Linked DNA regions of Canis lupus familiaris. The protein of the gene in region 1 purifies or fractionates together with the protein of each later gene. This does not show direct contact. Links are inferred from orthologs where the notes say so. Each region holds a gene or a part of one and is shown on either strand. Other genes may lie near its edges.

Evidence for each region.
Region 2: the proteins of EIF2B1 (region 1) and EIF2B5 purify together in Homo sapiens (affinity purification with mass spectrometry; 7 studies listed by BioGRID and IntAct, counting the BioPlex papers as one, with this or other methods). This does not show direct contact. The link is inferred for Canis lupus familiaris from reciprocal best matches to the Homo sapiens genes EIF2B1 and EIF2B5.

What each region holds. Positions count from the first base shown.
Region 1 is NC_049247.1:6,232,613-6,248,517, reverse strand, and holds the start of EIF2B1 (translation initiation factor eIF-2B subunit alpha), read right to left. Parts: upstream 8,114-15,905; 5' UTR 7,960-8,113; coding exon 7,947-7,959; intron 6,710-7,946; coding exon 6,608-6,709; intron 5,551-6,607; coding exon 5,414-5,550; intron 5,319-5,413; coding exon 5,202-5,318; intron 3,389-5,201; coding exon 3,276-3,388; intron 2,534-3,275; coding exon 2,465-2,533; intron 1,654-2,464; coding exon 1,578-1,653; intron 1-1,577. Other genes in the region: GTF2H3 (general transcription factor IIH subunit 3), read left to right, coding at 8,237-8,249, 11,935-12,014.
Region 2 is NC_049255.1:17,211,744-17,227,423, reverse strand, and holds the end of EIF2B5 (translation initiation factor eIF-2B subunit epsilon), read right to left. Parts: intron 15,191-15,680; coding exon 15,005-15,190; intron 14,909-15,004; coding exon 14,731-14,908; intron 14,473-14,730; coding exon 14,392-14,472; intron 14,176-14,391; coding exon 14,098-14,175; intron 13,829-14,097; coding exon 13,516-13,828; intron 12,535-13,515; coding exon 12,389-12,534; intron 12,178-12,388; coding exon 12,036-12,177; intron 11,914-12,035; coding exon 11,812-11,913; intron 11,427-11,811; coding exon 11,319-11,426; intron 11,133-11,318; coding exon 11,042-11,132; intron 10,737-11,041; coding exon 10,613-10,736; intron 10,026-10,612; coding exon 9,900-10,025; intron 9,493-9,899; coding exon 9,382-9,492; intron 9,231-9,381; coding exon 9,171-9,230; 3' UTR 8,360-9,170; downstream 1-8,359. Other genes in the region: DVL3 (segment polarity protein dishevelled homolog DVL-3), read right to left, coding at 2,005-2,165. UniProt on the Homo sapiens protein: Acts as a component of the translation initiation factor 2B (eIF2B) complex, which catalyzes the exchange of GDP for GTP on eukaryotic initiation factor 2 (eIF2) gamma subunit.

The DNA.
Region 1 (15,905 bases):
AATAACAAGTATTGGCAAAGATGTAGAGGAACTGGAATACTTGTATATGCTGAGAATGGAAAAAGGTACAGCTGCTGTGGAAAAGTCTGGTAGGTCCTCAGAAAGCTAGACATGGGGCAGCCCTGGTGGCTTAGCGGTTTAGCACTGCTTTCGGCCTGGGGTGTGATCCTGGAGACCCAGGATGGAGTCCCATGTCAGACTCCCTGCATGGAGCCTGCTTCTGCCTCTGCCTGTGTCTGTGCTTCTCTCTCTCTCTGTCTCTCTCATGAATAAATAAATAAAATCTTTAAAAAAGAAAAGCTAAACATGGAATTACCATGACTCAGAAGTTCCACTCAGATACATACCCACAGCAACTGCAAATAGGAACTCATAATTGTGCACCTATGTTTGCAATAGCATTATTCACAATAGCCAAAATGTAGAAACAACTCAAGTGGACAGGAATGGGTGGACAAACAAATGTGCTATATGCCTAGGTGGCTCAGTGGTATAGCATCTCCCTTTGACTCGGGGTGTGATCTCGGGGTCCCAGGATGGAGTCCTGCATCGGGCTCCCTGTATGGAGCCTGTTTCTCCCTCTTCCTCTGTCTCTGTGTGTGTCTTGTGAATAAATAAATAAAATCTCAAAAACAAAAACAAAACAAAAAAATAAATAAATAAATAAAATCTTTATTAGAAAAAAAAAGAGGGATGGAGGTGACACCTGCTATCACAAGGATGGGCCTTAAAAACATCGTGCTGGGGATCCCTGGGTGGCGTAGCGGTTTAGCGCCTGCCTTTGGCCCAGGGCGCGATCCTGGAGACCCAGGATCGAATCCCACGTCGGGCTCCTGGTGCATGGAGCCTGCTTCTCCCTCTGCCTGTGTCTCTGCCTTTCTCTCTCTCACTGTGTGCCTATCTTAAGTAAATAAAAATTAAAAACAAACAAACAAAAAAACATCGTGCTGATTATGGGGCGCCTGGGTGACTCAGTCGGTGAAGTGTCTGCTTTCAGCTCAGGTCATGACCTCAGGGTCCTGGGATTGAGCCCCATGTCAGGCTCCCTGCTCAGTGAGGACCTCAGTGAGGACCCTGCTTCTTCTGCCCCCACTCATGTGCTCTCCCTCTCAAATAAATGAATAAAATACTTAAAAAAAGAAAATATCGTGCTGAGTGAAATCATGCCACTGAACGCTAAATGTGAAAACTGTATGTTATGTGTCTTTCACTACACACCACAAGAAACAAATGATCATGAAATCTTCCCATGTTAGGCAATGGACAAAGAATTTTAATACTACTTTATACTGATGTCAAATATGCTCGGTTTAAAAAAAAAAACCAACCAACAGTCAAACTCAATTCCAGTTAAAACATGTTTTGAGAAAAGATAAACTGTATTCCCATGATTCACAGAGATCAAAGAAATGTGACCAAAATTTGGCCACTGTAGTGACCTCTGGGGCCAAGGAAACCATTGGCTGTGATGGTGACATATGGAGACTAAGCAGAATGGAAGAGTGGATGCCAAGATGGGGGTCAGCAGCCCGGGTCCACGTCAGGGGCAAGGAGCTCTACAGAACTGACGTTCTTACCTTGTTGATAATCCCCCCGTTTTCAACAACTCCTTCAGCACCAACGATGACCAGATCCACTTTCTCCATGATATAGCTAAAAAAATTAAAGCAAAAAAAAAAATTTTTTTTTTTTAATATTTTACTTATTCAGGAGAGACACAGACAGAGGCGCTCCCCCATGGCTGCTGGCACATGTATACAGGTGTGGTGACTGATAATGAGGATTTCATGACCTGATGTGATCCTTGCTACTTGTGGTACATACTGTTTTCTGATCTACTTCAATACAAACAAAACAAAAATTTAAAAGCCTGTTGTGATCTCAAGTTGGAAAAGAACATTATGTAATTCAGGAATCTTTCAGCTAAGGTAAAGGCCAATTTACCTTTGAAAATGAACAATTCAGGGAATTCTTCAAAATGTTTTCTTCTGAATGCATTCTTAATTTCCTTATCAGCTGCTTTCTGTGTGTTTGTGTTTTTCTGAGAGACTTTCAGTCCTGTTTTCTTTTGTGAGGTACACTGACAATTCTCTGAACACTTGTCCTCAGTTTTAGGAGCAAAGTTGCATGAGTGAGTCACAGAATCCCAGAGTGCCACTGAGGATAGCTAGCCCATGCCTTTCTGTAAAGAGGGAGTGTGCTGATCCTAACCCAACTTTTGCATCGTGCTCTTAAAATGCACCATAAAACTACATAAACGACTCTCATTCTCTGCAACACCCTACAGCTTGTGTCCTGCATACACTCTTAAGACCTTATAATGAGCTTGCTGGATTAATGCAGCCATCAATTCAAAGGCAGGACATTACCCAGTGAGGTTTTATCAATCTGGAAACCCTGCTCCAAGGCAAACCTGGGAGTGGGTGAGGAAAAGCAACCGTGCTCAGGGAAGTTGGGAACTTACCCAACAGCAGCATCTAGGACCACAGTGACAGGGACGTTGAGGTGGCAGAGAGCTTTGGCCATTTTCTTACTGGAAAGTGACATTTTGAGAACAGAAAAAGTTGAAGAGTCCCATAGTGATGTATGATGAGTCACTTAATTTGGACAGTGGTCAATCAAATTAGCTTGAAACTCAGTTCATAGGGATTAAGGGGCACATCCCAAGACTCTGGATGAAAGAAATAAGAATTTGGGTTCTTTAGAAGAAAATAGGTATTTCAGGAAAACAATATTCTTGGGGAATCTGGGTAAGAGAACCAAATTCAGAAAAAAAGGATAAAGCTTCTTCTTTCATTATCTTCTGTTTTTTTTTTAAAGATTTTATTTATTCATGAGAGAGAGAGAGAAGCAGAGACACAGGCAGAGAGAGAAGCAGGCTCCATGTAGGGAGCCCGATGTGGGACTCGATCCCGGGACTCAAAGATCACACCCTGCCCCAAAGGCAGGTGCTAAACCGCTGAGCCACCCAGGGATCCCCCTTTCACTATCTTCTAGATGGATATGTGAATTATCTAGTCCTTGATAAAAATCTTTCCACTGATGTATCTGTTGCTGTTCCTCTGATTTAACTACTAAGTAAACAGCCTAGATCCTGTACTGTGGCTACTGCCAATTCACAGGGATCTTCCTTCAGGGGCAGGAAGACACCCAAAGGCAATGCTGGGTAACTGGCCACTCGGGGACATGTTTTGGGGCTTCCCACACAGGTTTTAATCCTCAGTTTGCACTTTAGAATGACTGCTGGGCCCAGAACCAAATGGAATGATACTTGCCCTGATAAATCAGGCTGTGACTCTGTAATGTACACACTGAAACGCTTCTTGGCCGCCACGGCTGCCTCCAAAACTCTCAGGACCACTCTGGAGTAGGCGTGAGTTAATATTCTCTGTGGACCAAGAAACCTCTGTCAAAAGGGCAAGCTTAGCAGCAATCACCTGCGCTGTGCCCTGCTAACGCAGGCTCCCAGTACCCCAAGGCTTCTCTGTATGCCTTCTCACAAACCAACTGGCATCAGGAAGGAGATCCTCGATGGCACATCTATTGTGGGTCACCTCTTCCTACAGCAAATCCGGGAGTAGAATCTCCATGTGGTGTTGCTCACAAGATACAAAAGCCTTTCTGTCCGAAGGCTCTGTTTAGTTCCTTTGAGCTGGCTTTCCCATTTCTAAGACATGGTTTGCACACTCAGGTCCACAGGCATTAGGCAGGCTGCATAAAGAAATGCAGCAGCTCAGGCAGGGCTAGCAGCAAAGAGGAGAGGCCAAGTTCCAGCTGCTGTCATGTGGTCTCACAACTGCCAGAGCATCTGATATTTTCTTGAAAATCCAAGACATAAGGGTTGGCTACTTAATTTTTAAAAATTAATAAATACCATTTGGGGTAAACACAACCTATCTGTGGGCTGGATACAATATGCAGACACTCACTTCACCTTTGTTCTAATGAACAGACTAAATGGTTCTACATAATGCAAAATGGATGCACAGAGCACCTTAGTTCCTTTCTGGGCCTCCCCCAGGGGCTTGTTAGCAATGCATATTCTCAGCCCCACCTCAGACCTGCTGAATCAGAACGTCCCTGAATGAGATCCCAAGGTGGTTCATCTGTAGGTTTAAATGTGGGCAGCTCTGTTCTGAATTTAGCCTAAAGTCAGTGCTGATGCAGGTAGGTATTAACAGGTTCAAACACACCAGAGCAAATGAAACCCGCAGAAAGCTGAGTGTAGGAGTTTGGTGGAAACAGAGGGGCCTTAGCAAGAGGCAATCCTAATCTTGCCTCCATTTGCCCCAAAGCAACTTTGTTTGCAACTGGCTTTTGTACAGATTCCACTCACAACTATTACATCATTTATTGAATAACACACTTCAAAGGTTGGGAAGGGGATAATAAAGCAGGACAAGATTTCAGAGTCAAAAATGCAAGTAAATAATTTTATGGTCTGAGGCTGGGGTGGCAGAAGAGGGACGCCATGGAAGAGATATCATAAAGGTTTTACTGCCCCTTTGCTGGCGGACTGGCTTAACCTGCAGCTCCCGTCTTCACCTACAAACACTTGGCAGCTCTGCATCTCTGAATTAGCACTAGAGATGAAATTAAAGACAACACCCCAACACAGTGCTAATCTTCCCTGGAAGACAGTATGGAAGACAGTATGAACCAGTGCCAACAGCTGTTAGGTGGTGATTTGGGTTTAGTACGTAACCAGTAATGAAAATACTTCTTTGGTAAAGACATCTTATTAAACCAAGAATCCATGCTATCCCAGTGGTTTTTCTCTTCCTGTTTATTTTATTTAAAGTTTATTTATTATTTTTAAGTAATCTCTACACCCAATGTGGGGCTCGAACTCATGACCCCAGAGATCAAGAGTCACCACTCTTCTGACCGAGCTAGCCAGGCGCGCCCCTGCCTGTTTAATATGATAGACTCTGTAATAACATCTACACATTTCTTTAGTGCTTACTGTGTGCCAGGCATAGTATAGGGTCCTTAGGTCATCTCATTACCTCCTCCCACAACCTGATGAGGTGGGTGCTGTTGTTACCTTTATTTAACAGATGAGAAAACTACAGCACATAGAGGTTAAGTAACTTGTCCAAGGTGACACAGCAAGTAAGTGGCAGAGGAGAGATTTTACCCCAGGAGTCTAAGTCCAAAGTCTCTGCTCCCAATTACTGCACCTAAGAAAATCTACTCACCGCCCCATCTTTGATGAAAGTATGGCAGAGATCTGCAATTTTATTTCTTGATAGGGATGTTCTCCTGAGAAAAAGTTCTCCTCGCTCTATCATGATCTTTTTACATTTAGAGTAATCCTAAGAAGAAAAGAGAAAAATGTGGAGGAACTGAGATCCAGGTAAAGCAGCCGAACAAAGAAGTAGAAAGGTAACCCAAGGAAGGCAGGGCTTACAGAGTATTCCAGGGAAGTAAGGCTGATGAAACGCAGGAAGAGCTTCCCACCAGAGGACACGGCCACGGAGGAGTCCACACCACACAGGGTTCCTATGGCACTGGTAAGATTGGCTCGCAGGCCCTGGATCGTCTCCCCTGGATTGATCACATGAGGAATGTAATGTTCAGTTTATCATCACAGCCCCTTGGTGGGTATGTGATGCAAACATTTCATTTGTTCAACCAGTGTTTACTGAATGCATCCTCTATGGCAGTGGCAGATCAGCGAGCAGACAGACAGGGTCCCTGCTCTGACAGAACTCTCTTTCTAGTGGCAAAAACCAAGCACACAAAGAAATACACAAGTTACAGACTGATTGAGGAAAGAAAGCAGCAGCATGTTGAGAAGTAAGGGGCTACTTTAGAAAGCTAACAGGGATGGCCTCTGAGTGGAGGCCATTTAAACTGAGACCTGGGTAAAAAATGATCCAGCCACATAAAGATCCAGTAGGAAGGGTGTAGGTGTAGACTACAACACAAAGATCCTGAGATGGAAACAAACTTGATATGACAGAGAGGCCACCGGGGTTGACACACAGTTTAGTGAGGGACGGCGTGGGAGGAAATGAAGAGGAAGTGGCAAGGTGAGGTCTGTGAGGTGGTGTAGGCAAGGTTCAGGTATTTGGGTGTTATTGTAGGTACAGTGGGAAGACACCATGGCTTTAGGCCAACCCTTCGAATTAAAGGAAGCATTATTATTACTATTACTATTGTTGTTATTTTGCTTATAAATGATGTCATGCTCTACCAACAAACTTACATTTAGGATGCCTGAACTAGTAGGCAATCCCAATGAATGACATGAATACTAGAATTCTGGGATACTCTGTAGCAACTGCACAAATTCTGGCATAAGTCAGAAGCTGCATAAAAACTTGCAAAGCTGAACTATTGCTATAATTTAAGCTTCATGGTTAACTTGATATAACATGGTCACTCTTGATTCAAAGTGTATCTCACTTATGAAAGGGGACTCATTTAATGATAACCAGTGGGCTCTTTCCAAGTTAAAAGGAAGACTGACATGAAGGAGAAGCTGGACTTGGAGCTGCATTACCTTACAAGCGCCAGACACAGTCTTACTTCCTACACTTCTGACAGTTACTAGAGGTCTTCCCTAACACCCAGAGTGTTCAAATATCACTCTCTTCACCTTTATCTCTCTTCAAGAACTCCAGCAAAGTCCGGATGGCAGCTACTGCTGAGGCCATGTCAGGATCTTCTTTCATCTGAGACTTGAAGTATTCAATTAGCTCTGGGGAGGGAGAAAAAAGTGATTAATCAAATTCATTTAGTAGGATGTAAGACCAGAGAGCTTTTCAATGACTGCTGACCTTAACAAGCAAACTGATTTTATTTATCTATTTTTTTAAAATATTTTTATTTATTTGAGAGAGAGCACACATGGAGTGGGGTGGGAGGGGGAGAGAGAGAGAAGCAGATTCCAGCTGAGTGGGGAGCCTGACGCCGGGCTCGATCTCAGCACCCTGAGATCATGATCTGAGCTGAAGACAGACATTTAGTGAACCGACTGAGCCACCTAGGCACCCCAGAAGCAAACTATTAAAAAAAAATACTTTCTTTTCAGGGTGTTTGGCTTCACGGGCGTTATAAATGTTGATAGGAATAGAGATGACACCACTTTAGTATTTACGAGCTGTCTTTCTCACTCTTTAAAAAAGATTTATTTACTCATGAGAGACACAGAGAGAGAGGCAGAGACACAGGCAGAGGGAGAAGCAGGCTCCATGCAGGGAGCCTGATGTGGGACTTGATCCCAGATCCTGGGATCATGCCCTGAGACGAAGGCAGACGCTCAACTGCTGAGCCACCCAGGCATCCCTGTCTTTCTCATTTTTTTGGAAAAACCTATCCGTGCACAAAGAGCATAAAATTTAAGCACCACCCCATGATAACAGAAGGTCATCCTCCCTCTAATCCTTGACTACAAGTCCTAGGAGAATCCCAGAGTCAACCACTTTATCAACTTACCCTCCACCTGTCCAGACAGTCGATGCCAATTCTAGCCTGTTCACCCACTTACACATACACATGTATATGCAGCAGCCCATCCCACTCTTATTTCTTTTAAATGAGAAATATAAGTCAGTTTGCCCTTGTGTTTCACTTAATGAAACATCCTGATAATCAGATGAACGCATCTAAAACGTCTTTAAAAAAATTCTAGTACCAAATCCAAGAAGGCGGGGAATCACAACCGCGGAGACGCGCACACCTAGTCTAAGTCTCCCTTTTTTGGAGGTGGGCGTTGGAAAGCGGCGGGAGAGGAAGGTCTGGGGATACCCTGAAGACCCATCCCCTGGAGACAGGGGCAGCGGGAGGGACTGAGCTGCGACTGGAAGCAGCAAATACAGCCCTGCAGCCTAAACTTGCAAACGGATTTCTCGCAGGGCCCCGCCCGGGCGTGCCAGGTGGGGGGACCCCTGCGCGGCTCCGCTTCAGTTCCAGCAAGCCCATCCATTACGACTTACCCTTGTCGTCCATGGCGCCCTCTGGATCGCACAGCCCGAGGGGACCCGGACAGCCCGCGCTGCTGGAGCGGGTCCCACCGCCGCGGGGACTCGCGGCCACAGGGACTGCCAGCACGCCGCGCGTCTCCGCGCTCCACTTCCGGCGCCCTGGGGCCGGGGCCCTGGGTACGGCGCGCGGCTCGCGTCAAGCCGCTCTTGCGTCACTCGGCTGCGCCGGAAGTCGGGGTGTGCAGGATCCGGGAGGAGCTTTTGACGGCTCGCTGCCTCTGCGTTGGGGGATCCTGGCCGCCATGGTGTCAGACGGTGAGGGGTGTGCGGGGAGGGACCCCCACCCCGGGACTGGGCAGGACCACCGAGCTGGAGCATTATTTGGGGGGCTGGGGCAACCTGTCTGGTCTTTAGAGGAGTAGCAGATGTGTTATTTTATTCAATAAATAGTTTTGAATGGTCTCCGGTGTGCCAGCGTTGTTGTATGCGCTGGGGAATACAGCAGAGACCATGGCAGTCAGGGCCTTCGTGGAGGCTGCAGTCCAGTGGGCGAGGCAGACAGTAGTTAAGTAAATAAGAATACTTTCGAAGGGTGACAAGAGCTGTGAAGACAATATACTGGGATGCTGCAGTACTGTCATTAGGGGATGACCAAGGAGGAGCTACGTTTAGATAAGAGTCCAGGTACTGAGAGTGAGTCTCCAGTGAGTGTGCAAAGGCGCTGTGGCGAGTTGAGTCGTTACATTACACTAAGAAATGGCGAACTTGAGGGTAGAAGAAGATGGAGAGACTTTCATTCATACATTAAACTACCAGCTATAGAGCCTGCTGTCTTTTTTTTTTTTTTTTTTTAAGATTTCATTTATTTGAGAGAGAGTGCGCGCACCCGTGAGCGGGGAGCGGGGGTGAGGGAGAGGGAGAAGCAGACTCCCTGCGGAGCAGGGAGACACATGCGCCGCTGGATCCCAGAACCCTGAGATCATGACTTGAGCTGAAGGCAGAGCTTAACCAACTGAGCCACCCAGGCATCTTGAGCCTGATTTTTAAAAAAATTTTCTTTATTAGATGTTGAGCAAGAGCGAGGATGAATATGAGCAGGGAGAGGGACAGAGGGAGAGGGAGAAACAGGCTCCCCACTGAGCAGGGAGCCCAATATGGGGCTGAATGTTAGGACCCTGAGATCATGACCTGAGCTGAAGGCAGATGCTTCACCAATTGAGCCAGCCAGGTGCCCCTAGCTTGATGTCTTAAAGAAAAAAGAGACCAGGGTGGTGGGAGTGAAGTGAGCTAAAGGAATGAGGTCAGAAGCTAGGCAGATGCATGGCCCTTGTGGGTGGTGAAAAAAGAGGTTGAACTTTAAGTGTAGTATGAAACCATTGTAGGGTCTTAAGCAAAGAATTGCATAATTTAATTAATTAATTAATTAATTTTAAAGAATTGCATAATTTTATTTTTTTATTTTATTTTTTTAAAGATTTATTTATTTTTTTACTTATGATAGACATAGAGAGAGAGAGAGAGAGGGAGGAGGGAGGAGCAGGCTCCATGCCGGGAGCCCGATGTGGGATTCGATCCCAGGACTCCAGGATCATGCCTTGGGCCAAAGGCAGGCGCCAAACCGCTGAGCCACCCAGGGATCCCCAGAATTGCATAATTTTAAAAGATCACTTTGGCTGCGGTGTGGATAAGGGAGCAAGAGTGGAAATAGGGAGATCACTTCTTTTTCAATACATACCACAGTCCTGAGAGAGGCAGGCCTGGCATGGGCCTTGTCTACAAATGATGGTGTAGAGACTCAAAGAAGGAAGTTGACCAGGCAGTCCGTGTGTGTGGGTACTCATCTCCCCTATTAGGCAATACTTTATTTTTTTCTCAGGCTTCTGGGCAGTAGCAAGGGCTGGCTGACCCTAGAGTTGTGGGGTGGAGCTCATGGAGAATAAGGCCAAAGGATTGTGGGCTTGTGGGTAGAGGAGTGAAAGACAGTTATTAAATGCTGCTTCTGTGTTAGGCATTTTTGTGTGTGTGATTTGCACTTTTTGTGTGTGTGTGTGTGTGTGATTTGCACTTGTTATTTCATCCCAGGATTCGCAAAAATCCTCTTTCTGTAATGAGGCCACAGTCTAGTGGACTAGTTTTAGCAGAGCTGGCAAGAGAGATCAGAAAGACAACTAACTGTAAAATGAGATGATTCATACTAAGAGGATCAGAAGTGGACAATGGGTTATTGAAAAGCCAGGGATCCCTGGGTGGCGCAGCGGTTTGGCGCCTCCTTTGGCCCAGGGCGCGATCCTGGAGACCCAGGATCGAATCCCACGTCGGGCTCCCGGTGCATGGAGCCTGCTTCTCCCTCTGCCTGTGTCTCTGCCTCTCTCTCTCTCTTTCTGTGACTATCATAAATAAATAAAAATTATAAATCTTGAAAAAAAAAAAAAAAAAAGAAAAGCCAGTCTTTATAGTCAAGTAGATCTGGCTCCATAGCAGGGAGTTTTGCCGCTTGCTAGCAAGCCATGTGACTTAGAGCAAGTTACTTTCATTTGAAAATAAGAATGCCATATTTGTGTCATCTAAGTTATCTAAGACAGTATCAATTATGAGATCTGTTTTTGTTTAGTGTGCCACTAAGAGACATGCTGCTAGTCTTAATTATAAGACACCATCCTGATTTCAGCAACTGATAAAGAGAGAGTCCCTGTCATAATTGATGAAAGATGACAGTAGTATTTCCATCAGTAGTTTGTTGTCAGCATGAAATGGGATTATAGGATTACATATGCTGATGCAGACAGCTATTCTCAGGTTGGGGAGCCAGGACCTGTTGGAAATCCTGGGGAGGATTTTTGGAAGAAAAAAAGTAGCATTGGTTTGGTGCTTTGTAGAGGACATAGGATTTGGATTTGAGAACAAATCTACGATGGAGTGGGGATTATCTGATGTAGGAGGTGGGACTGCAGGAAGGAAGGTGTGGGGGCAGGAAATACATTATTGCTTTTTGCTATTAAAGGAGCATTCTGGGTTTTTCTTAACAGCTGTGCTTATAGGTTCGTATATCTGTCACCTCAGTTAGAATTTAGACTCCTTGAGGGCTTGAACCCAGTATCCCCAGCTTCTAACACTGGTATTTAGCGTAAATGTTTGTTGAATGAATTAATGTGTTGTTAGCCTGTACAGTTGTGTCTAACTTTGGAGAGTAGTCTATTCCTTTTCACAGTAAAATCTTTACATAGCAATTGCTTTTCTCTCTTTGGTTTTCACCTTTTAAAAAGTGGTTCCTGATCACCATTGGCCTTGCTGCAAGGTGGTTTGATGGGCTTGAGGCTAGACTTATTCCTGTGTCTCCCTTCAGCCTCCTTGTGTCCCTAAAATTCTGCTGTTGAATATTAACTGGCTAGTCCGTGCATTCTGTCCTTGACTGCATTTAAAATGTGAATATTTGGGTGCATTTAATAGGTATTTTTTGAGCATCTACCTCATGCTGGGTGGTTGTACCAGGAGCAGAAGATAAGCAATGATAAGACAGACAAGATCCTCCCCCCGCCCCCCGCCCCCGCCCCGGAGCTTACATTCTAGTGCACGAAAGATGTGGTGGTACAGAAAGCAAGCAAGAGCCTGCTGAGGGCCCAGAGAGCTTTCAGTCATTAAAAGCACTTGGCCGGGATCCCTGGGTGGCGCAGTGGTTTGGCGCCTGCCTTTGGCCCAGGGCTTGATCCTGGAGATTCGGGATCGAATCCCACATCGGGCTCCCGGTGCATGGAGCCTGCTTCTCCCTCTGCCTATGTCTCTGCCTCTCTCTCTTTCTCTCTGTGTGACTATCATAAATAAATAAAAATTAAAAAAAAAAAAAAAAAAAGCACTTGGCCTTTGGTTAATTTCAGGATTATAGGATGGTAAACATCTAAAGGCATGCGGTGGTTCTTGCTGTGGTTATAATTTACAAATTGGGATGTTGGTTTGCCTATGGTTTCATGAGGTTAATGTTTTTATTTTTTGTTAATATTTTCAGAAGATGAATTGAATCTTTTAGTTATCGTCGTTGATACCAACCCAATTTGGTGGGGAAAGCAAGCCTTAAAGGAGTCTCAGGTAAGATTACTTGAGGAGGCCTTTGGATAATTCTGGTATAACTATGTTAATATTGCTTTTTAAAAAATCAGCTTCATTAAAGAAAATCAGCTTTATTAAGTTATATTTTATATACCATAAAATTCATCCATTGTAATGTACAGTTCATTGTTTTTTTAGTAAAAATCACAAAAAGATCGTGTAACCATTGCTGCAATTTCATTTTAGAGCATTTCTATCACCTCAGAAAGTTCCTTCCTGCCTGTTCAGTGTCACTGCTTCTACCCTCTAGTTGCAGGCTGTCACTGATGTTTTCTGCCTCTATATTGCCTTTTCTGGACATTTAATACATGCTACACAATATGTGATCCTTTAAAAAAAAAGTCTATTTTGAAATGTTTTATTTTGAAATAATTATAGACTCCCAGGAAATTGTAAAAAAAAAAAAAAAGGTAACAGAGGGGTTCCGTAGCCTTGTTCCAGCTTCTCCTAGTGGTAACATCTCATGTACCTAGATTATAATAGCAAAACCAGGAAATTGACATCAGTACACCCTTGAGACCTTATTCAGATCACAGAACTTTGCATGCATTTGGGTGTACATGTGGTGCTGTGCTGTCTTATCTTGTGTACAGATGTGTGTCACCACCACCACAGTCAAGATGGAGAACTGTCCCATCACAAGCAGGAGCTGTCTAGTGCTCCCTTTATAGTTGCTACACCTTTGTAGTCAGTCCCTGGTCCCTAAGTGGGGTAGACACTGATCTACTACTCTGTTCTCCAGGGCTTTAGTTCTGGTATGGAAATCTATCATATAGGTTTTTTGAGGTTGGCTTTTTTCACTCCACAGATTGGGTTATTCCCTGCATCCATGTTTGCCCTTTCTATTGCTGGGTGGTATTCCACAGTACGAGGTACCAGTTTGTTCTGTCACTTACTAAAGCTTTACATTTGGGCTGTGTTTTCAGTTGTTGACTATTACATAAAAAGCCACTCTGAGAATTTGTGTAGACGTTTTTGTGTGGATAGAAGTTTTCATTTCTGTGGGATAAACGTCCAGGATTGCAACTGCTACAACATACGGTGTAATCGTGTAAATGTGTGTTTGGTTTTATAAGAAACTGCTACACTCTTTTCTAGAATGGATTTATATTCCCACTAGCAAAGTGTGAGAGAGGGAGTTTCTCCCCACCCCAGCATTTGATGTTGGCACTTTTTTATACTAGCTGTTTTAATAGGTATGTAACAATCCATTATTTTGGTCTTGATTGCATTTCATCAATAGCTGGTGACATCACACAGCTTCTTCTAAGCTTGTTCACCATATAGATAAGCCTCCTGAGATCTCTTTTCATGTCACGTGTCCATTTTCTAGTTGGATTGTTGGGTCATGTTTAGCCATTGAGTTTTGAGATTTCTTTATGTATTCAAAATATAAGCCATTTGTCAGATAATCTTGCTTGCAAGTATTTTCTCCTCATCTTTTTTTTTTTTTTTAATTTATGATAGTCACACACAGAGAGAGAGAGGCAGAGACACAGGTAGAGGGAGAAGCAGGCTCCATGCACCGGGAGCCCGATGTGGGATTCGATCCTGGGTCTCCAGGATCGCGCCCCGGGCCAAAGGCAGGCGCCAAACCGCTGTGCCACCCAGGGATCCCTCTCCTAATCTTTAGCTTGTCTTTTCATCCTCTTCTGGTGATCTTTCACAGAGCAGAAAGTCTTTAATTTTGATCAAGTGTAGTCTCTTGATATTTAAAAAATATAGCTTGTGCTTTTGGTGCTGTAAGAATTCTCAACCTTGCTCTAGGTCGTAAAGATTTTTGCCATTGTCTTCTGTGAAAAGTTTTATATTTAAATCCACAATCCAAGGATCCCTGGCTGGCTTAGTAGAGTGTGCAACTCTTGATCTCAGGGTTGTGAGTTTGAGCCCCTGATGGGTGTAGAGGTTACTTAAAAATAAAATCTTAAGTAAACTCCACAATATGTTTTGAGTTAATTTTGTAAAAAAGATTTTATTTATTTATTTATTTATTTATTTATTTATTTATTTATTTATTTATTTAGAAAGAGAGAAAGAGAGCACACACACATGCTGGGGTAGGGGCAGAGAAAGATGGAGAGAGAGAGAGCCTTAAGCAGATTCCATGCTGAGTGTGGGACCCAAAAATGGTGCTTGATCTCACGACCCCAGCTGAAACCAAGTGTCAGTTGCTCAACCGACTGCACTACCCCGGTGCCCCCATTTCTTAAAATCTGTGAAATATAGATTGAGGTTCATTATTTTGCCTATGGATAATCCAGTTGCCCCAGCACCATTTTTGAAAAGTTTACTCTTTCTCCACTGAATGGTTTTCATATCCTTGTCAAAAATCACTTGGGTAGGGCAGCCCCGGTGGCTTAGTGGTTTAGCGCCGCCTTCCACCCAGGGCGTGATCCTGGAAACCTGGGATCCAGACCCGCGTTGGGCTCCCTGCATGGAGCCTGCTTCTCCCTCTGCCTGTTTCTCTCTCTCTCTCTCTCTCTAGTAAATAAATAAAAAAATCTTTTAAAAAAATCACTTGGATATACATGTGTGGGTTTATTTTTGGGTGCTCTTCCTAACGCATTGATCTATTTCTGTGTCTCTCCCTCCACCAATACCACAGAATCTCGTTTTTGATAGCTAGATAGTAAGTCTTGGGTTCCAGCAGGCTGATCTCTCCCACTTTATTCTTTTTCAAAATTGTTTTTTAAGTATTCTAGTTCTTTTGCCTTTCCATATAAATTTTAGAATGAGCCTGTTTATGTCTACAAAAGATCTTCCTGGAATCTTGATAGGAATTATGTTAAACCTGTTCGTCAGTTTGAGGTTATACTCTGCATAGCTCTACTATGTTAAATCTTCCAATTTACAAATATAGTACATATCTCTATTTTTTAGATCTTGATTTTTTTAAAAAGATTTATTTATTTATGATAGAGAGAGAGAGAGAGAGAGGCAGAGAGAGACACAGGCAGAGGGAGAAGCAGGCTCCATGCTGGGAGCCCAATGCGGGACTCGATCCCGGGACTCCAGGATCGCGCCCTGGGCCAAAGGCAGGCGTGAAACCGCTGAGCCACCCAGGGATCCCCTTAGATCTTGATTTTTTCATCAGCGTTTTATACGTTCTAGTTTGCTTAGAGTAGTTTGCTTAGAGACTTTTTTTTTTTTTTTAAAGTAGGCTTCAGGGGCACCTGGGTGGCTCAGTGGTTGAGTATCTACCTTGGGCTCAGGTCATGATCCTGGGGTCCTGGGATCGAGTCCCCCTTTGGGCTCTCCACAGGGAGCCTGCTTCTCCCTCTGCCTGCATCTCTGCCTCTCTCTCTCTCTGTCTCTCTCATGAATAAATAAATAAAATCTTAAAAAAAAAAATAAAGTAGGCTTCATGCCCAGTGTGGAGCCCAATGTGGAGTTTAAACTCATGACCCTGAGTTCAAGACCTGAGCTGAGATAAAGAGCTGGACGCTCAACTGACTGAGCCACCCAGGCACCCTGTTTAGATATATATATATATTTTTAAATCATGAATGGCTGTTAAATTTTATCACTTGCTCTTTCTGCATCAGTTAATGTTTTTCCTTCTTTAGCTTCAAAATGGTGGGTTATGTTGATTGCTTTTCAAATATTGAGTCAGCCTTGGATAAATCTCACTTGGTTTCAATTTGTTAAGATTGTTCAGGATTTTTTTTTTTATGTTCAGGAGAAGTACTGGCCTATAGTTTTTCTTTTTTGAACTGTGTTTGGCGGGTTTTGACATAAAAATGATACTGGCTTCATAAAATGAATTGGGAAGTGTTCAGTTTTCTGGAACAGATTATTTAGATTTGGATGTCCATTCTTTAAATGTTTGGTTCAGTTCTTTAGTGAAATCATCTGGGCCTGGAGTTTTCT
Region 2 (15,680 bases), on another chromosome or scaffold:
AAATCTCCTCCTTTAGCTTTGTTCTCAACCCTGTTAAAACAGTCTACTATAATATTTTGCAAAAGATGACTCAAGTACCACTAATGTATGAAAGATTGCTTCAAGTGCACCTGAATGTTTAATTCAGTAGTTAAGTATTTATTTTTAACATATTTGAGAAATACAAATAGAAAATCAAACCTTGATTTCATATTACTGATTGGGTCAAGCTAAGAAAGAATGAGTGAACTGATAGTAGATTTAAAGAACAATAAGTCAACAGTAAGCAGATGTAATGGGGTTTCTCCTATAACTGCAGTTAGGCCTGGCTTGACAGCAGCCTGGGGGTAGTGGGAGGCAGCCCAGAGAGGTATAGGTTTAGGAGGTGGGGGCTAAACCCAGTGGGTTCAGAGGTGAGATAAGGGTGGAGACACAGGCCTGTCCTAGTCCCTCAAAGGCATCTGGTCCCAGGGTGGCTCCAGCACACTCTAGCTGATTGCCCTTATCCCATACCCTGAGGCTGCATCTTGTTCTTTTCCAAATCTATTTTTCTCTTACCAGGCCAAGGCATCTGTCCCCTCACTCTCACCCCTTGCAGATCGATCCCTCTTCAGAATCTTCCAATCAGGGGTGTCCGTCTCTGGACTGAAGCCAGACAACCATTACAACACCAGGAATACCCCACCCCAGGGTAGGAAGAACAACAGAAGAATGGTCAAAAGCTGCATAGCCCTTCCCACTGTACAAAGCACTCTCACACAGAATCTCATGGGCTCATCAAACCCTGAGTTCCGTGGGGAAAGGTGACAGCAAAACATGCTAGGTAGAAGAGAGAAGGTGCTTGCTTTCTAGGGCCAAGAGGGCAGGGGTCCTGGAAGAGAAGCCAGACTCATCAACACAGGGAAGGAGAATGTCTCCCCTCACTCAGCTCTGAGGCCTCAGCTCCAGGGAGCAGTGCAGGCCTCAGACTGGGGTTGGAGAGACAGCCTTTAGGCCTGGAGGGCTGGGGAAAGCCTTCCCCACAGGCCTCCAGGCCCAGTGCCCAGTTAGTGTGGGACAGGCAAGTCTGGGGGCCTCCCCCTCCCCCAGTCCCCTGGGAGTTGTGGGGGGGGGGGGGCGAGGGGATGGGCCAGACTCCCCCTCCCAGGCCAGCTGCTACAGAACCTTCCGGCTCCAACATTCCATCCCCTCTTAAAGGGGAAGTGGCTGCTTCCAAACTCCGCCTGTCCAAAGCCCTGCAGCTGGGTGGAGAAGACCCCACCAGGGAGAAGATGAAGAACACCAAGAGACTCTTCCTGGCCCTCCCATCCAGGCTCTGAGGCCCTTTCCAAGGTCTCCCCCTTGGCCACCATCTGGAGGGGAAATCAGCACCTAGGCCAGGGGGGACTTCTCAGGGGTCAGGCACTCCAATTCCCTGACAACATCCTGAACACCCCACAAGGAAGGGGAGACAGCTAAATAAACATTAGGTCTGCTGGCTTAGCTTGCAACCTGGCCCCTGAAAACCCCTTCACCAACTCACCCTCCCCCCAGTTCAAAGTCCCACTGCATAGCCCCTGTATGCACTACTCCAAATATGGCTGAGTGGTGGAGCTGAAAAGATGGAGAGGGCAAAGGCCGAGTGCCAAACACCCCAATTCTATGCTAAAAAGGTGGCTCCCTTGGCAGGCGGACGGCTGGGGACTCGGCTCTGGAATCGGGTGGGGGTGTGTGTGTCTAAGTGGGCCGCTGGTCTCTGAGGAGGTGAAGGGGGCTTGGAACTCTGGTTGCTCTTGGGGAGCTGGACGTCCTCCTAAAATGGGGGGGGGGCTAGGTCCCCCCCCAAGGTAAAAGGAGAGTCCCTAAAGGGGCTGGCACTCCAGCCTCTGAAAAAGCCAGGCGGCCCCCCAAATGGCCAGGTCGCCGCCTGGAATCCAGAGTAGGGCCAGAAGCCAGTGCAGCAAGGGGAGCCCAAGCTGGCCCCGCGGGCCCCGAGAAGCCGGAAGGGCCGGGGTCCCCCGGAGGTGAGGCGGGGGCCATCCTCACCCGAAATCGTCGTCCATAGACTTGAAGAAGAACTTATAGCTGGGTCGCTGCAGAACGCCCTTAAAGTCAGCCAAGGTGACGCGCTCGGCGGGCAGGGGCAGCTTCACCAGGTACGGCGTCTCCTGCCCGTCCAGGTGGTAGATGATCTTGGTCTCGCCCATGGCTCCGGCCTCGGGGCCCGCGGCCCGCGCGCGGCCTGCTCCGGCGGCCTGGCCGGGCCGGGCCGGGCCGGGCCGGGCCTCTGGCGGCGGCGGCGGCGGCGGCGGCGGCGGCGGCGGCGGCGGCGGCGGCGCTCGGCGGGCCCAGCGGCTCAGCCTCGCTCGGCGGCCGGCCGCGGCGCCAGCTCCCTTGTTCTCCGGCCGCTCCCGGGTCCCAGCGCCGCCTGCCGCCGCCGCGGCCGCCGCTTCCGCTCCCCACTCGCCCCGCTCCGCTGGCGACGGCGACTCTTCCGGCGGCCGCGGCCCTCCCGGCTCTGCGCCGCGGCTCGGCCCGCTCCCCTCCCCCGCCCCCGCCCCCGCCCCCGGGCGGCCCCGCCCCGGCGCGAGCCCCGCCCCGCCCCCGGCCGCCGCCGAGCCGCGCTGGCCTCTCGGCAGATGGCCGGGGCCTCGCCGGGCCCCGCGGACGCCCCGCCCACCCGCCGGGCGCAGAGCTCGGCCGCCGCGCTGCGGCCCCCTGCCCGCGGGGAGCCTGGTGGCGGGCGCCCGGGCCCCCGGACCGCGGAGGGCGGCTCTCACCAGGAGGGCCGCCCTCTCGGACTCCTCAGGGCCTCGGCTCCGGACCCGAGGCGGAAGCGCTGTGCCCCAGCAGCCCGGGGTCACTTTGGTGGTGGTGGTGGTGGGGGGTGGCTCTGACCAGGTGTGGATGGGGGAAAGTGACCTTCACATGGTCCTTTTAGGGTCTGTTGGAAAACATAGCTGCTGTCACTGAGTCTTCCAAATTAAGTTCCTTGAGAATAGAACAGAATCAAGTTCTGATTCCCTCTAGCCTCACTGCAATTTCTAGGTGCAGAGCAGTCAGTGGCTTCATAAATGGACTGAGGCTAAATGAGCACAAGAATGAAAATGAGTGCATGACTGGGACGGTAAGTCTCAAACCAGAATTAGGTATAATCTATCCCTGATAGATCTCCTCACCTCTTAGCTATCTATCTGATATATCTATCTATTTACTTATTTAGATTTTATTTATTCATGACAGACACACAGAGAGGCACAGACACAGGCAGGGGGAGAAGCAGGCTCCGCACTGGGAGCCTGATGCAGGCAGGACTCTATCCCAGGACCCAGGATTCCTACGTGAGCGGAAGGCAGATGCTCAACCCCTGAGCCACCCAGGCATCCCACCTCTTAGCTTTTAATTCATTTAATAAGTGAGTGCCCACTAAGGTGCAAGGCATGCTGCAGGGGATAAAGTGAAGACAAGACAGATAAGGCTGACCTCAGTCTGGACTTTCACTCATCTGAAAGGAGACACACAAGCTTGAAATAAATAACTTCAGAGTGACAAACGCTATGAAAAAGATAAAATGGAGTGATGTGGTAGTAAAAAGGAGAAGAGAACCATGGGTGATTAGAGAAAGCCTCTTCCATTTGAGCGAAGGCATAAAATGGAAAAAGAGGAGCACCTGGGTGGCTAGGTCCCTTAACCAATCTACCTTTCAAGTCACGATCATGATCTCAGGGTCCTAGGATGGAGCCTCAAGCCCGTAGGGCTCCCTGGTCAGCCGGGAGTCTACTTCTCTCTCTGAAATAAGTAAAATCTTAAAAAAAAAAAAAAAAAAAAAGGAAAAAAGCAGCTAGAAGAAGATCTGGTGTGGGGGAAAAAGCATTCCAGGCAGAGGGCACAGCCAAGTATAAAGGCTCAAGGCAAGAATGAACTCTCAATCTGAAGAACAAGAAGGCCATTGTGACTATAGTGATAGTGGTAGAATGAGGCTGGAGAGGTAGGCTGGGACCAGACCACATAGGTCCTTTAAGGCCACAGGAACAAGTGTGGGCTCCTCCTCCTCCATTTTATACACTGTTGCCACATTAGCATTTTCAAAGTAAGTACCTCTTCCAGACTCTCCTGCTCAGAAACATCTCCACACTCCCCAGTGCTTTCCAAATATTTTTAGAACAATATTCAAAACTCTCCATAACCTAAACTACCTACCTCTACAGCTATTTTTTCATTATATCCTGGCTAAATTTTTTACTTCAGCAAATCAACCTATTTGCTAGCCTCTGCACATACCTTGTGTATTTTCATTTCATACCCTTCTCTTTACTTTTTTAATTAAATATATGTGCATATTAATAAAGTTCTTAACAGCAGTTCTCTGTTCCATTTTCCATACCATGCCAGTATATACATATTTTTAAGCCTCATACTATTTGTTGATTTATGCATTCTGGACATTGCATATTTATTTCCAAATTTGATTGATGGATTTATCTTTCTTCCACCTCCCCCTAACCTTTTAAAATAGTAAAATGATACTTTTGGTTAAGCGAATATAGTTTTTAGTATTGACATTTTGCCTATGAGTAAATGCTTCCTTTTTACAACTTTTTGTTTCTCCTGGCATTAATCATTGCTTTACTTCTGCTTTTTCTTTTTTTAAAAATTTTAAAAATTTATTTATGATAGTCACACACAGAGAGAGAGAGAGGCAGAGACATAGGCAGAGGGAGAAGCAGGCTCCATGCACCGGGAGCCCGACGTGGGATTGGATCCCGGGTCTCCAGGATCACGCCCTGGGCCAAAGGCAGCCACCAAACTGCTGCGCCACCCAGGGATCCCCCATACTTCTGCTTTTTCATATAGTATATCTACCATTAAGTCTTATAATCTAATAGTTTTCCATGCATATTTTGCTTACACAGCCAAATATATTCGATAATCCAACCATTTTCCCCCCTAGGGCCTTCCATTCTCTTGCTCTGGTCTGCACTATTGGCTGTCTCCGCCTATGCACAGCTGTCATCCTGGGACAGCATCCTCCTCAGAACTCCCTTTACCTCCACGATGTTGGATCCCTGTTTCCCGGATATTTTATTCATTTGCACACCTATGGTGGCTTACTTTGGAAGCACGGGAAAGAAAACCCCTTTCAAGAACTTGCAAATCTGAAAATGACTGCCAAGTAATTTTCCTTCAAAATTTTGAAGGTATCACTACATTGTCTTCCAGCATCCAGTGTTGCTATTAAGCAGTCAGTTTGATCTCTATTTTTCCTAACGTTTTGCACATAGCTTGTTTTTACTCTCTGGAAATCTTTAGTAAGTTCTCTTTATTCCTGGGGCTCTAAAATTTCATGGTGATGCATCTTGGTGCTCAATTACTATGCTAGGCACTTGGTGAGATCTTTCCATCTAGAAATTCAACAGTATTTCCTTGAATTATTTAATAACATCACTACCATTTTCCCTGTTCTTTTTACGACCCGTTAGATGTTGGACCTTCTAGATTGATCCTTATTTTTCTCCTTTACCATATATTCCCTCTTATTTTTAAAAAAATATTTTATTTATTCATGAGAGACACACAGAGAGAGGCAGACATAAGCAGAGGGAGAAGCAGGCTCTCTACTGGGAGCCCGATGTGGGACTTGATCTTAGGACCCCGGATCACAACCTGAGTGGAAGGCAGATGCTCAACCACTGAGCCAACCACGTGCCCCTCTCCCCCCTTATTTTTAAATAACTGCACTTTTGTGAGATTTTCGTATTATCTCCAACCTTCCTTCTATCCAATTGGATAGGTAAAATGTTCACAATTCAAAAATTCAACGACATAAGGATGGATATAGTTTCCATCCTATTCAGTTGTCTAGTCCTCAAATTATCAGTAGGAAATAATTTATTTAAATTTCTAAAAGCCTTGTCATCTAGTCCTCCCTTTTCATAGAACTTTCTTCATAGATAAAATATCTTCCCTCTTTGAGTTTTGAGAATAATTATAGCTCCCCCCACCCTGAGGTTTTAAAAAAGCTCCCCATTTTCTCATTGTTTCCTTGATTTCAGTTTTGTTTTGGTCTTCACCTTTCATGTTGGAAGTTTCCTCAAATTTTTGATGGCCATTGGCAGTCTATTCACATTTATTTACTTATTTAAAATATATTTTTAAAATATTTATTTATTTATTTATTTATTCAGAGAGAGAGAGAGAGAGAGACACACACACACACACAAACAGGCTCCATGCAGGAAGCCTGATGCGGGACTCTATTCCGCATTGAGATCCTCCGGAGATCACACCCCGGGCTGCAGGCGGCGCTAAACCGCTGTGCCACCGGGGCGGCCCAGTCTATTCACATTTAAGAGCGAGATACTAAGCAGCTAATTGGAAGCTCTGTCTTTGTTCAGGGCTTTTTTTTTTTTTAATTAAAAAAATTTTTTAAAAGTAATCTCTCTACTCAAAGTGGGGCTTCAACTCACAACCCCAAGATCAAGAGTCCCAACTCCACCAACTGAGCCAGCCAGGTACCCCCGTGTACAGGGCTTATTAACTAACAGATTTCACTGTAGGGTAATCAAGTGGGGGTAAAGATGCCTTTTTGTTTTGAGGAAACAAAAAAATAAAAGTATTTAAAGGCTTTCTCCATTTTTCAGTTTGTTTTTGCCTCTGTTGATATTCAGAGCCCTCATATACTTAATCCCTCATTTCCAATCTAGCTGATAACCCCCATCCCCATGTCTGCTCTTGTCCAGAGGCTCTGAAATTTCATGGGGCTATTTCACTCATTCTACTAGGCTCATGAACTCTTGTCAGTCTGAAAACCCAATACCTTTGAGTTTAGGAAACCTTCATAAATATTTCTTTGATAATTTCTTCCCTATCATTTCTCCAGAGACTAATTCTCCCACTTCTTGCAGGAGAGTAGGGGGTAATCACCTGGCTAAATTAGATGAGGTAGACCTGGGAGACCTTCTCTCATATAGATCTCGGATTCCTCTCCACCCAATCCTGTTGTAAGCAACCAATCCTTATCTGCTCTGCTACACCTATTCTGGGTTTTAAAGAGCACATTGGGGGCAGCCCGGGTGGCTCAGCAGTTTAGCGTGCCTTCAGCCCAGGCCGTGATCCTGGAGACCCGGGATGGAGTCTCACATTAGGCTCCCTGCATGAAGGGAGATTCTTCTCCCTCTGCCTGTGTCTCTGCCTCACTCTCTCTCAAGAATAAAATCTTAAATAAATAAATAAATAAAAGGGCACATTGGGTTTGCTTCTTGTTAGTCACCTCAGCAGATAGAACCCATTTTATTCTGCTCTGTTAAGTCAACTTTGACTCTTTCATTTATTTTTCATTTCCCAAAATGTCAGTGTCTCTCAATCATTGGGATCACCTCTGGTTTTCCTTATTGAGTCATGAACTTTTTTTGAAGATTGCTTTACTAGCATTTGAATGGGCTTTTGGAAAAAGTAAAAAACCCCACATGTTTAGTGTACCATATTTATATGGAAATCCTTTGCTTGCTTTTAAAGTCCCCTTCTACCTCTACTTTTAGGCAACTCAGGTGTCATAATCCTGTAAGTCTCCTCAATTACTCCACTAGAAGGAATCTCTTCCTTCTAAAAAGTTCTATAGGCCACTTCTGATTTCTGCCACCCATTAGGTACAAATCAGAAGTGCCCTATAAGTTATTTGTATTTAATTGCTCCTAGTAGGCCATGCCAAAACCTTCATATCCCCTGTAGGTTCTAGGTCCTGTATCTGAAAAGCACAAACTGAGATTTACCGAATAAGAAAAGTAAATTAAGCCAAATCCTAAATTAGATGAGATAAAGAAATACTCTAGAAATACTTTAGAAATACTCAGTAATGCCCTTCACACCTGAATACATTTCAGTATCATTTTCCTTAGCTTACTCTTTTCTACCCAACTAAAATGAACAATGGCAACCATTTTATCTGTGATGTCAAGGAGGGCCACTTATTAACAGTAACATCTGCCATGGTTTAAGTGTCAATAGGATATGAGTTTTAGGACAAGAAAGCCAAGAAAGATGAGACAGAAAGGCAGGTCTCATGAGGTTAAAGGAGACTATACAGCACAGTGGTGAACTCCAGCATGGCTCAATCAACGACCAGTTATGGGACATCTCTGAACTTTAGGCTCCTCATCTGAAAATGGGGATAAGGCCTACCTCATCTACTGTGAAGGCTAACTAAACACATGAAAAGTATTTAGCAAAATTCTTACCATATGGTAAGCACTCTCTCAATATTAGGGGAAAGCCCATTTCATAGGATCTTCCTCTGTTCTTAGGATACCTATTGCTGGCTTGGCATTATATTTGCCTCTGGAGGCAATTTTTTTTCACTGTGACACTGAATATGTTGAAACAGAAAGAATTTTTGATCACGAGATTCAAGTCCTTAGCTTTACTCCTTTTAAGAATCTTGATACCTTAAGCAAATTTTCCTTATCTGAACATCCCAGCTTCCCTGGTAGTAGTACTGGATCAACTGGACAAAGCATGTGAGGGAGTGGCAGTTGGACCCTGTGAGGGAGTGTAACGGACTTTACATATGCTTGGATCATCATCCTCCGGCAGGAAAGTGTTGGGACTAGAACTCTCTATGGAAATAGCCTCAGGCACATCACTCCAGGACCACGGACTGTTCCACAGAGGCTGGAAAAGAATCTAGGCCTTTCATTCCCTATGAGCCACGGCAAAGGTCAATTAGCAAGGGACCACAGTACCACCTAGTGGCCGTAACACCCCACTTCTCCCTCTCCCCCAGGTGTTCGGGAAATGCTGCCAGGTTCAGAACTTTCTGGTCACCTACATCAAGAGCTGATCAGTCATAGTTGGAGAGAAACCAAATACATCCCCCTGTCTCTTTTTTAATATTAACAAATACAAGCAGCAGAAAGGGCCAGCTGCTCTCTGCTGTTCCCTGAGGGAAGGCCAGAGCACAAAATTGTTCCTCTAGACTTCCTCTAACTGCGGAGCCTGCCTTGCTCCTTTTTAGGCAGAGCTTTGTTCCAGCCCAACTTTCCTTTTCCCAAGTCCCCAGGCAGGATGGGAGGCACATGGTTGCTGGTGGTAGGACGAATACTGTAGTTCCAGCCTCTGCTCCTTTAAGCCTCAGCTTAGATGGCAGTCATTCATCCTTCGGCAACCAGAAGCCAGGAGGGCTATCAACTACACCAAGAGAAGCAGACAGTGCAACTTCAGTCATCTTCGGATGACTCCTCTTCTGCCTCTTTTAGCCACTGGATGAACCTCTGCAGCTGTAAGGAAGCAGAGTGGAAAGCTACTGAGGGAGGGGGATATAAGTAGCTTTAACAGCTACAGAGGCTGGAAAAGAATCTAGGCCTTTCATTCCCTATGAACCATGGGACCAGACAACTGCCTTGGTGACAGGAGGGCAGCCTGACTCACCTGTTGGTTCTTGCGCAACTGCCGGCCCTTGTCAGTCATATCCTTTTGGCTGAACCAACTCAGGATTGTTTCCTCAGCCAGGATCTCCAGCTGGTAGAAAGCCATGAGTACCTGCCGAAGGCCAGAAGAGATCTCAGGGACCTTGCAGAATCCAGCAAGATATAACAGAGGAAGAGGGGACAAGATCTTAGCACTTCTCTCTACCAGACTATCAGCTTCCTTTAAAACACCAAGCAGTTGCTCTTAAAACAAATAAAAATGAGCTTTTCATTCTGCAACTGGGACTGGTATAACCTCTGGAATTATTGTCGGGTCTCCAAGATAATCTCCAAAAGGCTGCCTTACTAGCCTGACTCCAAGCTGTATTATTGCAGCAATCAGCACAATAATAGGGGTGGATGGTGCTACTACTCAAATCCCATACTGGATTCATGTTAGCCTGTTTTGTGTCTCCGTGGAGGTAGCCAAGGCCTGTTTCAAAAGAAATCCAGGGCAATGGGGCTTGAGGTGGTATTCACCTTGGCCATGGAAGTACTAAGAGCTTCATGCTCCAGGAAGAAGTCCTCAATGGCTGCCAATGCTTCCAAATGATCAGCTGCACGCTTTATGTAGTTCCTAAAAACAGGGCTCCAGGCCTTAAGCAGCTATGGAAGAAAGGAGAAGGGAGCTGCAATATATTCCTGAGCATGCACCTACATCCGGATAGCAAAGAAAGTCAATATTGGAAATATGGGACTTTTAGGATATAGGAAAACAAGAGGGGAGATGATACAGGCCTGAGGAATCATGTCAGAGGGACTTGGGAGCTGCTGGAGGTCAAGGTTGGCAGAAAAAGAAAATATCTCCCAGGGAAAGTGAAAGGGAGTCAGATCCTACAGGCTGCCTCAAAATACCTATTACCAGCCTACAGGTTGATCTCATTCTGGGTCAAATCATTTCAGTCAGAGAATATAAAAGTCTAGGTCTATTCTGGGCATACCTTTGGGGTCTAGTAATGGTCTGAATCCTGGAGTTTCAAAGAGCACTCAGTATGAACCTAACTTGATTGCTCTGGACCAGCCAAGCCTGCTCTACTACCCAATCTGCATCCAGAGGCAAGGAGAAAGGAACCACAAGTAAAAAAATCCCACAATAAGACCTTCTACTCCCTATTTCCCTTAAAGTGAAACATGGCAAGGACATGGATTTGCCTCCAGCCAATCCCTTGTACTCAGCCCCAATCTTTGCTCACAGGAAGCAGCAGGGAACAGTAACGGTTTGGGTCCAGCAGGGAATCCATTTGTTGCAGGGGGAACTCCAGGACCACGCGGCTCAGTACCTGCATCACCTCCTTTAGGCTTATGTTGTAGGCATACCTGTGGGGAGATGGGGGTGGAGGGGTAACACCAGAGCCTTCACTGGCCATTTCAGCATGCTGTAGGACTATGACTTTGGTAGGACACTGGGGAAGAAGGCGGATGGAACAACATGCAAGGAGAAGGCTTTGGAAGAGAGAAGTCTGTGCTGAGGCCAGAACCTAATGCTCTCCTTGTTCCAAATGCTACTGGCTTTGTCCATTTGGGATGTTAAAGGAATTGGTTCTTATTTGGGAAAGAAACAGGAGAGAACCTCTACCTGCCTGGGATTACCCAGAGGAGAGAAGAGGGAGGGCTGCTCTTACTTGAGAGAGTTGATCTCTAGGACTAGATTGTCACAAGAAATGTTCTCCTCCTTGCCCCGCTGTAGTGTTCCCAGTACTTCATTCTGGAATACTAAAATCAAAGCAAGAATAAGTTCATGAACCAATATGTCACTCCAGAATGCTTTAAGTTCTCTAGTTCTGACTTTATACCAAACCCTTCTGGGAGAAACACAAGTCTTTGGCTAGTTGACCCAGACAGAGAATGAACTGAAGGTTTTTTCTTTTGTCCTAGCACACTGCTCCCCTGGCCCATCACCTTTGATGTCATCCATCTGTGGGGAGCCTGCTCGGCTGTCTAGTTCCTCAGAATCCATACTCTGCTCACTTTCAGTTTCACTCTCTTCTTCCATGTTGATCGTGAGTCCTGAGAACCCATATAGGTGAGAAAAAAGAAAAGTAAAGAAAGAGCTGTTGACAGAGAGCAACATATCTGCCCTGTCTGAATGAATAAAGTAATTAATAAGTAGTCACATTCTGAAGTATACACTTTTCTTCAAAATATTCGGACTTAGGGGCAGCCCGGGTGGCTCAGCTGTTTAGTGCTGCCTTCAGTCCAGGGCCTGATCCTGGAGACTTGGGATCCAGTCCCACGTCAGGCTCCCTGCATGGAGCCTGCTTCTCCCTCTGCCTGTGTCTTTGCCTCTCTCTCTCTCTCTCTCTGTCTCTCATGAATAAATAAATAAAAATCTTAAAAAAAAAAAAAAATCGGACTTAGAGGCGGGAGGTTACAGGAATAAAGCCTAACTTACCCCATAGATTCTGATGTAGTTCCTCTTCCTCCTCTATGTTTAGGTCTTCAGCTTTCCAGAGGTAGCCCTGGCCAGCAGCTCCAACTTCTGCTGGATTATAACCTGGCAAAGGCATTGATCTTTAATGAACACACAAGAGAAACACAATCCCTCTAGGAGGAAACACTGGCTTTCTCATGGGACAGAGAGACACACAGATGCCCCACACCTGATTAGCCTCACACCTTTCAGCTTCACTTTCTCCTTTTCTTGGTTAGCCCCAGAATCATCACTGAACTGGCCATCATCCTCATCTTCCTCTGCATCTGGAGGGTGCAAAGAGATCACCGAGCCTTCAGGCAACGTGATGTCTGGGCCCACTACCACCTAGAGGATGCGAAAAGAGTGGGTGGCACAGCTCCATTAATGTGTTGGGGAAAGATACATCCTGATAATGAAAGCGACTATTTTTACTATGCTAACTCGAAGACAAATGAATCTGCTGAATTTGAACTCTCAATTCAGGTTGGATCATGGGTGGACATAAGGCCTCTCTGGCTCAATTTGGAGTCTTCATGCAGTACGGAGCAGGTCTCACCTGGGAAGTGAGGACACAGCGTGGCTTCAGTGTAACTTGTTCCTTGACTTCAGCATTGTCACAGAGCAGAGACTGATGAATCTGTGCTCCAGCAGCCACTTGGACACCCTGCCACAGGTAGGCCTGGTCCAGCACCACGTTATCACCTGGCTCAGGACAGGAAGTACTCCTGGTCACTCAGGGTTCCAGATCAGAGCCATTCCTGGAGGATGGGGCTAACTGGTAACAGCACAGCTCCCACCCAGCTGATACTCTATCTCCCAAACCATCAGAAACACCCTCTCCCTCTCTATATTCCAGCCTGAAAATAGAATAGTGCTTAGCAGGACCATCCTCCACAAGGTTTACAATAATCACTATATACCGGACTTAAGACTGTATACTGAACTTAAGAACCTAAGAACCTTCAAGATATCTAGGATCTCTTTCAGCTCAAAAACCTTATTAGAATCATATCTATGTCTAGAAGTAGAAGTAAAGCTCTCTAGCTCTTCTTATACATTTTAACTTATTTTTTTAAAGACTTATTTTTAAGTAATCTCTACATCCAACATGGAGCTTGAACTCACAACCCCTCTACCAACTGAGCCAGCCAGGCGCCCCTCTCCTTGTACATTTTTTAAAGGGACAGTTCCATTAGAAGTATCACATTCTTATAACCAAAGTCAGTTACCAAGAAGCCAACCAGACAGCTTTGATTGAATAAAAAGAACACTGGACTTAGAATACTTAGATTCAAGTCCTAGCACTGCCTCTCATTAGCTATGACCCTGAGGGAGACAACCTCTGAGCCTGTTTACTTGGCTATAAACTAGAGATAAATAAAACCTTGTGAAGATAAATGAAACAATGTATGCCAAAGCCCTTTGTAAACTACAGTGCACCAAACAGATATTATTATTGCATGTTAAGTATCCACTTGGTCCTGAATGTGAATAGGGTACTCTAGAATGTGAAGAGTCACCCAATAAGAGGCCCATAGGCCACAAATTTCACATCCCCATTCCTTCCTTTATTAAAGCAGACACTCTTATTCCTTATTCTCAGGGACTATCCTTCTGTGTCCTTATCTGGGGTCCCCTAGGTTCCTGCTCCCAGATCATCCTGACTTCCCCACCTGTGCTCACCAATGTGGCAGCCAGGGCCAATGACACTGTTGGTGATATAGCAATTGCTGCCAATGACAGTACCAGAGCCCAGAAGCACATTTTCCTCTAGGATGCTGCCATGGCCCAGGCTGACCTCAGGCCCTCGGTAAATGTTATGCCGGGAATGAGTGCAGCTCTGGGTTGTGCTGTCAGTGAAATTCGCCTCTGGAGTGAGAGGGTAGACCCATCGGCGGATGACATCAGCGCAAACTGCCGCATACATGTGCAGGTTGGTGACCCGGGCACCATATTCCTTAGTTGTCACGTGCATGTGGATCTGGTTCCCTAGAATCTGAATAGGGAGAAGGAAAGGGAGGTCACCGAAGCAAGTAAAAGAGGAAGAACACACTCAGGTACAACTCTTTTCTAAACTTAAGTTACCCTCTCCCCCTCAATGTCATAGCCAAATGGGCAAGATTTTTCTTTGGGTTTCATTCCCTCTCTCTTGCAGCTCTTTTCCCTCATCCTAAGGTTCAATAAAACACAAAAGGGGACCAAAAGTTATCAGCATGGGATAATACCACAGACCTCTTCTAAAGAGGCCTGGGAGCCTTTTCTTACCTCCTCATTCACTAACAGGCCTCGCACAAAGTCATCTCGAGTTTGGTAGTCAAAGTTGTCTGTAAAGAGTTGAGCCACCTGTGGGAGGACGTTTGGTGAGGCTAAGGTGAGTGCTATACTCTGGAAACAAAAATAAGTCCCTACAGATCTATCAGATCCTATGATGGTTGGACAAGGACCAGAATCCCAAAAAAGTTCCCAATAGGATACTGGAGTCAGGATGACAGTGACTTTTTACTGTGGAACTCAGAGTTCTACTCTTTGGATGTGCAGCCCTGGCCCTGAAAAGCTCACCTGAGGAGAGCAGATGCTGATGTGACAGTCCAGTAAATCATAGCGAATCTCTACTCCATCTCCACTGCCCTGGAACAAACTCTGTGGGGAAAAGGTATAGGACTTTATTCTTTTAAAGATTTTAAAAATTTATTTGAGAGGGAGAGCACAGGGTGAGGGGCAGAGGGAGAAGCAGGCTTCCCGCTAAGCAAGGAGGATCCAAGGACCCTGGGATCATGCCCTGAGCCGAAGGCAGATGCTTAACCGACTGAGTCACCCAGGTGCCCACCCAGGACTTTAACTTGTCTCTTGCTGAAGCCTGTCACTTTCCCACTTCAAGGACCCCAGATACCCACACACCAGAGGAAAAGAAAACCGTCGAAGGCCTTGGGTCTTCTGGAAATGGAGAACCCGGTTTGTGGTACTATCCACAGCCACTACCACATTATCCTCATGGCAACGAGTTGGGTGGCTAGGGGATGACTCTTTGAAGATCATTGTCATGACAGATACATTTTTTTCTAGCTTCCGCCTCAATCTATAAAGGATAGGAGGGAGAGAGCAGCAAAATAGCAGTCTTAGGGCTCTGCTGCTAGTCACAAACCCTTTGTCCCTACCATCTTCCCATCCTGACCTGTGTTCTTCCAGAGCTCTGGTAATATTGATGTTTGAGATGACATCCCCATACACCAGAAGGAAGTCAGAGCGCACCAAGGCCTTAGCATCAACATCACGGAGAACATCCCCCAGTGATCGATATAATTCTGACGTAATTATTCGAACCACATTGAGGGATGTAGGGCGGCACCACTTGGATTTCCTAAATGAAGGGGATGAGGGGAACGAGCAAATCAGGCATAAAGATCATGTAGTGCTTCCTTATTTTTCTCACCCATTCAACATTCACACGCCTTCTTTATAGCTTTTTTTGGGTTCCTGCCAGCATTTTCTACTTCAAAGAGATTTGTAAACTATAATTAATGGTTTCAGCATCCTGTGTCACCAGTATTGTTTTATGGGTTAGAGAAACATGGTTATTTCTTCTCCAAACCCTGACACCTGTTCCCTAACATGGATTTGCATTCAAAATCCTGCTGAGATTTAGAGTATACAAAATATCCTGGGAACACACTTTCCATGCCCCTTCTCTCCATCCAAAGTCCAAACCAAATTTAGGAACTGTCCAAAGGACATCAAGCTAATATTCTAGTCTTTTTTCCCTGAACTTCCATAAATCCTGATACGCACTCTTTTTCAAGAAGATTTCATCAAACATTTGTTAAATATTTATTATGTGCTTTATACTAAGC